2 linked regions of the Arabidopsis thaliana genome follow. The protein of the gene in region 2 interacts with the protein of the main gene of each other region in a pairwise test. Each region holds a gene or a part of one and is shown on either strand. Other genes may lie near its edges. The genes, in order: AT4G00130 and AT1G75490.

Region 1 (3,447 bases), on a different chromosome or scaffold from region 2:
TAATAAATATCTTCTATTCCTTTAGTAATATATTTAACTTTGCTCATTAGTTATCATTTTGCTACTCCTAAGCAAAAATGTCCGGCTAGAAAATCGAAACAAACAAAAGATTTGGATAAGGAGAACTATGACCTTTTAATACAGTCATGCCTCAACTATTTAGTACGTTGTTTTTTTCATGTTCGACTGGAGATCAAAGCTCACAGAACACTGTAACAGGTTGTGGAAAAAATGTGACAAAACGCTGTTATGTCTCCACGACATGGAGAGCAGTAGAAACTCGATCAAGCAGAACATTAACTCGGGTCTCGGGACATGTACCATTCTGGTATCTTATCGATATGTAAATTGCTAACACATATGATTATGAATTTTGCCTCTTAACAGTGCAGTCCAACACCAGCTGAACTTCACAAGGTATGCATATGATAACACACATTGACAAGTCGAAGAACTAATAGGGCTAATCCATCTTCTGTCTAATATCATAGAAACCGAACAAGAATAATAAATAAAAGGGTTTTATACCCAAACCAAACATCCAACATTATATAGGGGCATAAAGAAAATACGAAAAAGACTTAGATAAGGATTTAGTTCCACAAGCTAACAAAAAGACTCAAAATGCATAATAAGAAATAAAAAGACAAACCGCTCAAGATTCAGCTTTGAACATCATCGCTTCAGTTTTGTTCATAAGCACAGACCTCTCGTAAAGTAGCTCAAACAGCTTATCCTTAAACTTCTTCCATTTTTCCTCCACTTCTCTCTTCTCAGCTCCATCCTCAACATTTTCCCAACCCGTAGTTAATTTAGATTCATCCAAACCACAAGAACTCCCGAACGGCACCATCTCTCTACCAATGGAGAGACCTTCGTTCACAACCTTTGCGTCTGTTTCTTCAGGTTTCATCTCTTTGGGTGCAACTTTCTTCTTTGATGATTTACCAGCAACCAAAACACCGTTGCTCCCCCAAATCATTATGGACAAGTCAAAACGTTTTTTCTCACTCTCTTTAGCATACTCGACCTCATCTTCTGTCTGACCCTTCTTACGCGCATTCTTCACAGCGTTATTAAACTTCTTCTTCAACCTCTGAAGTTTAGTAACAATTTGGTTTTTGGTAGCATCGAACTCGATCAGTTTCTTCACATAAATGCAAAAAGCATCAATATCTCATAAGGATCTCCTTTGGTAGATGTGAAATCGATTAAACCTTGAAGCAAAGCGATTTCGTCAGCCTCACTGAACAATCTCTGAAACAACATCTTCTTAGCATCCTCTCCAGCAATCTTCTTAACCTCATCATTAGTTGTCGGCTTCTTCACATGCTCAACTTCCGATGTCTTCTGCTTCTTAATAGCTTCAGGAGCAGCTTCCTTCAAAGGACGCTTAGCCGTTGAAGTCTCAGGTACATTCGCGGACGTCTCTGGAATTGGTTTGGTCACGACAGGCATCGGCTTGATCGTCTTAGCAGGCTCGGACTCGGGCTCGGGCTCCGATTCAGTTTCGCCTTCAGACTCAGATTATGAGCCAGATTCCTCTTCTTCACTTGAAGTAGGAGGGCTCTCGATCACTTCTTCCGCCTTCTTCAGTGCCATCGAACAAACAGTTACGAGAGAGAGAGAGAGAGATCTGCGGGAAGCAATAAGGTTTTCTACTTTCCAGTCGCCGTGAATGTGCTTTGCTCTTAGGTTTAGTGATTTTATAGGCTAATGTGGACGTTTCGTTTTCTTGCCCTAGTTTTGCTTTTTCAATAAAAGTCGATCATTCATTCATGTTGGGCTGTCCAACGCGCTATTCCACTCGAACGTGCCTCACATACTTTAACGCGTTATTAATTGACCTCCGAATTTGTCTTTAGGTCTTCTTCCTACAATATTGATTCGACTAATAATAACAATCTCGCTAGTTTACAAAAAAAATATAATAAATAACAATCTCAATAAATGCATTTTGTACTCTGAAAGGTTGTGTATTTAATCGCAATTTTCCGTAAAAAATATTGACGGTTATTTTTTTCATTCATGTCTTTTCATCGTAACTTTCTGTAAACATTTACGGTTATTTTTTGTTAGTGTTTTTTATCGTAACTTTTCATTTTTCTATTTTCATAATAACTTTTCGTTAACATCTATGGTTATTTTTTCTGTTAGTATCTTTTGATCACAAATTTCATAAAAATATTGATGATTACTTTCCTCGGTTGTCTCTTTATTGCAACTTTACGTTATAATATTGACGATTATTTTTGTTTTTTTTTATCTTTTTATCGCAAATTTCCATTAAAATATTGATGGGGTTTTTTTTTTTCGTGTTTATCATCGTAATGTTTCGTTAATATTATCGGTTATTTTTTGTTTGTGTTGTTATCACAACTTTTTGTAAAAATATTGATGGTTATTTTTCCTCGGTTGTGTCTCTTCATTGCAACTTTCGGTTATAATATTGATGGTTATTTTTCCTCGGTTGTGTCTCTTCATTGCAACTTTCGGTTATAATATTGATGGTTATTTTTTTTGTTGAGTCTTTTCATCGCAACTTTTCGTTAAAATATTAATTGACACTTTTTTTGTTAGTGTCTTTTTATCGTTATTTTCTGTTATCTTATTGACTGTTATCTATCCGTTGTATTTTTTAGCACAATTTTTTATTAAAATATTAATGGTTACTTTTTGTCGTGACTTTTCATTAATATTGGCGGTTGATTTTCTTCGGTTGTATCTTTTATCGTAAATTTCCGTAAAACTATATACGGTTATTTTTCCGGTTAGTTATATATATACTTTAAATAACTATTAAAAATTATAATATGCATTATTTTGAGTTAGATTTGTTTTAAGGAAATTATTATATAAACAATTTTATAATCTTGTTAGTAGCTTAGTGTATATCAGTTTTCATTTTTGCGTCTACAAAATCATAATCTCCGACGACAAAAATCGAATAGAAAATCATAATTTCTGATGACAAAAATCGAAACAAAAAACAGTTATTTATTCATTATTACGTTAAAGTTAGTAATTTTAATCGACTTATTAGTAATTGTGTCTGTATTTTACGTTTATGTTAGTGATTTTAACCGACTTGTTAGTAAACTTTTTTTCATTTTTCGTTTATGTTAGTGATTTCTACCCGTCCCCTCAAAAAGTACTAACATGCACGTAAAAATGGAAAAAAAATATCACTAACAAGTCGATAAAAATCACTAACATAATATAAAATGAAGACAAAATCACTAACAAGTCCATTAAATCACTAACATGATCGTAAAAATGAAGATCTAATCATTGTTTGTCGCCGAAGATTATGATTTTGGAGAAACAAAAAATGACAACTGATGGCCACTAATGGGATAGGGAATATTTATTTATTTCCAAAAAAAAATCATACTAAAATTTTGGAAAATAGAAGATTTGGTTGTAAATGGTATCTTAATCTGATTG
Region 2 (4,141 bases):
AACCTGACTAAGCATCATCTCGTCCGTTTCTATGGGTCGTAAGAGGTCTTATTAGTTCAACCGCTTTTCACGTAATCAAATTTTTAACCCTTAGATTAATTTTATGATTTTTGTTAGAATATTTTTATTATGTAACTTATTTTTTAATTATATTTTATATTATGTAAAAGTTTTTATTACATAAAATATTTTGGTTTTCAAAATTTCTAAATGTTGAATTTTAATGAATTGAAAACAAACTGAACTAAGTATCACGTCTCATCCTGAAAGTCCGTTATAAAATTAACTCTTACATTAACTTTTATGGTTTTTGTTACAAAAATTTTTATTATGTAAACTTTTTTTCTTTACTTTATATTTTTGATTATGAAAATGGTATTTGAAAAGTTCAAATAAAAACCATTTTCAAATAATCTAAGTGATTGTTAAATTTCAATGCAATAAAAACTTCGTTAATATTACTCATTTACAAAGCTTCGGTTTTGCCGTTTTGGTAACCAATCTCAAAAGTCAGAAGTTATTTGCTAGAAAGACGAATCAAACACAGTTGTATCTTTTGAAATGATCTAATTCCAAAAAGATAAATTCAACAAGGGAAATCATGCAGGCTCCCTAAATGTAAATCAGAGTTACAAAACAAACACACACGACGACGAGTAACGAGTAAACTTCTTAGAAACGGGATCTTGGTTGTGTAAAAATGTAAACCTCGTCGAAACCCCTCCTGCAAGATTGTATGATCCAAAGACATCGTTAAAGGACATCATTGTCAACAACGAAAAACAAGAGAATTGTGCAAAGACTGTCCTTAGTGGCTTTACCCTGCGTAGTAAGTAGGCTTATAGTTGTATATGAGATTGCTCAGCACTTTCTTAGATGGTGTCTGTTCAGTGACGTCCTAGCTTCACTGCACCACATTCAACCGCAATCCATTGAGAAAACAAAAAATGTTGTTGGGAAAACTGTGAAAACGTTGATGAGGGTGATCTTACATTCTTACCTGACTAAATAACTAGCAGCATGCTGTGTCACCTGGATTGCATCCTCAGAGTGTGGAATCGCAGATGATCCCCATTCAAATGCATTTTTCTACAGAGAATTAATTTAGTGCATTAAGAGCTTTGTTTTTTTAGCTGTCAACACAGAATATAGTACTAGAAATATAAGTTTAATTGCATATCTTCAACATTTTTTATATTGTGGATATGTTAAAGTTATATAAGCAGACATCGGAGTCAAATCCATCATAACAAATTCCCAATCGAACAAGATAATTCATACTAAGTATCTCACTATTTTCTCGATCTACATAAATCATCTTCATTTCTCTTGCTAAATTTATTTTTTCAAAAAAAAAAAAATCCAAAACAAATTAATGGATTTTAGTTGCAATTACATTGATTTGGTAAATTATGTTTTGCAATTTCCATAATAATCTACTTGACATTGAACGACTTCAAATTTTTAAAAAGTTCTATCTGAGAATACTAGAGATAATATTTAGAACAAAAAATAAGTTAGATAAATTGGAACCGGAGCTTTGTAGTTATCGGTTAAAAAGGCCGCCTTTTCACGTGTGTCTCGGCCACAAATGTTCTAAGACAGAGAAGTAAGATTCAGTGAACTTTGTTTGTCTCTTATCGAGGAACCTTCGGGTCCCGTACGTTTAATTTGCGTGGACATATTGCCGCCACATGACTGACCCTTACACACATTCATACTTGTACTTTGCTATAATTTCCCACGTGGCAATTAAAAAGCCTGGAGAAATGGATAACATCAAGAAAGAAAATGGTGACTCTATGAACGAATTAAAAAAAAAACTACAATTCTTTCTCAATGTTTATGCATTAGATGATGATTCTTTTTTTACAAAAGGAGAGATTACATGACTCATAGAGAAAAGCTTTATAAATCTAAAGGCTTTTTAATTAAAAAAGTTTGTATATATAAGAAAAATCATGTATTTTTTTCTTTCTTTTTAGCTATTTGAAATTATAATTAAGTTAAAGCCATAGCTTGATTTTGTTTTCTGATGAATAAAGCCATAGCTTGATATTAGATAGAAGCATTCACATGACGAGCCATTAATTCATAGTGATAAATCTTTTTATATTTCCCCAATCGCGGATGACCTTATCCATATCTCTCTCTCTCTTTTCTTTTTTTTTTTGGAAAAATCTCAAACTCATCAATCTCTCTGCTGGTTTTACGATTACTGTTGCCAAAAAAAGAAGGGTCTCTCGAGACAAGTGTTAGGATTACAAACACAACACCAGCTTCCTCCTCTCGACACGACCCTCCGTCATGTCTGCGCCAGCTATATCTTCTCCTCGCCACGTTTCATCACTCTCTTCTAGTATATATACACACCTAACCATTACCTCATGTCTTTGCCTTATCACTCACCAAAAGTCGTCACATAATATCACTTTCGAGTTATCAACATCCGTACATGTCATCCATAGAGCCAAAAGTAATGATGGTTGGTGCTAATAAGAAACAACGAACCGTCCAAGCTAGTTCGAGGAAAGGTTGTATGAGAGGAAAAGGTGGACCCGATAACGCGTCTTGCACTTACAAAGGTGTTAGACAACGCACTTGGGGCAAATGGGTCGCTGAGATCCGCGAGCCTAACCGAGGAGCTCGTCTTTGGCTCGGTACCTTCGACACCTCCCGTGAAGCTGCCTTGGCTTATGACTCCGCAGCTCGTAAGCTCTATGGGCCTGAGGCTCATCTCAACCTCCCTGAGTCCTTAAGAAGTTACCCTAAAACGGCGTCGTCTCCGGCGTCCCAGACTACACCAAGCAGCAACACCGGTGGAAAAAGCAGCAGCGACTCTGAGTCGCCGTGTTCATCCAACGAGATGTCATCATGTGGAAGAGTGACAGAGGAGATATCATGGGAGCATATAAACGTGGATTTGCCGGTAATGGATGATTCTTCAATATGGGAAGAAGCTACAATGTCGTTAGGATTTCCATGGGTTCATGAAGGAGATAATGATATTTCTCGGTTTGATACTTGTATTTCCGGTGGCTATTCTAATTGGGATTCCTTTCATTCCCCACTTTGAGGTGTCACTAGACTCTCTTTAATTGTTAAGTTATCATATACAAACTACATATATATACAAATATAGTCACCGTGAACTAGGATATATATGTAAATAAACACCAGTTACATGTACTTATATATGTGCACATCTATATATGTGGTTTGTCTGTATAGTGTGAAAGCAGATTCTTACCATATCAAAAAAAACATAAAAACGACAGTTGTTTGTCTCGAAGCTAAAAATGTGTCATGGGGAAAACTATTAAATCAAGTGCAATGTATCTGTATAAAGAAAACGGGATGTTACGTTGTGTGTAACGGTCAATGTGTAACTATTATATGTCTCTGTTTCTATGGGCTTTTAAGTCTTTGACTATTCTCTTGGTTTTCTTTGCATCTTCTTCTTAGCTTCTCTTTGTACTAACGTGTAATCCTCGCGAGTCTTGATAGACTATATGGCGTGGTTTATAACAAACCTGGCCCGTTTATTCCGGCCCAACATCATTATATCTCGGCTTATATATGGTCTCCAGTCTCCAATAACGGGCTATATATGATTTAACTAATGGATTCAAATACGAAATCTTGAATCCACATGGTAGACTAACCTATGCCAGATAACGATTATGAGACAAAGTCGCTTATGCACTGTGTTTTTCCTTATGTATATGAATTTCTTTTGTTAATGAAATTTATTTGTATAAGGTAAATAAGATATGAAATTCTGTTAATGAACTTCTTGTTTACATCAAATTAAAAGATGATATTTTATATGTAAAAAGCTGACGTGTAAGCTGATCCGAGAAAACCAAGAAAGATAATGTAGAGCATTGAAGTGTATATGTGAAATTTTTAACACGTTCTCCTTAAAATAATGCTTTTATCCGTCTATTTCAAACAAAATTCTAATATTGGACCAAAAATTATATATCGAACAACACATCTTTCTCAAGTTAGCTAAACTTTAATACCATGTTAAAATCTATGGACTTTCAACTCAAGAATTGGTCCATACTATAACTTAGTTGGTCCATATTATATTATATATATTAAATGTTGGTTTATTTTTAACTTGTTCATTCGG

Evidence for each region.
Region 1: the proteins of AT1G75490 (region 2) and AT4G00130 interact in a two-hybrid assay, tested with the Arabidopsis thaliana proteins (one large-scale study listed by BioGRID).

Annotation. Positions count from the first base shown.
Region 1 is NC_003075.7:46,277-49,723, reverse strand, and holds AT4G00130 (DNA-binding storekeeper protein-related transcriptional regulator), read right to left. Parts: upstream 1,611-3,447; 5' UTR 1,311-1,610; coding exon 1,218-1,310; intron 1,148-1,217; coding exon 656-1,147; downstream 1-655.
Region 2 is NC_003070.9:28,333,590-28,337,730, forward strand, and holds AT1G75490 (Integrase-type DNA-binding superfamily protein), read left to right. Parts: upstream 1-1,912; 5' UTR 1,913-2,455; coding exon 2,456-3,076; 3' UTR 3,077-3,401; downstream 3,402-4,141. UniProt on the Arabidopsis thaliana protein: Putative transcriptional activator that binds specifically to the DNA sequence 5'-[AG]CCGAC-3'. Binding to the C-repeat/DRE element mediates high salinity-inducible transcription.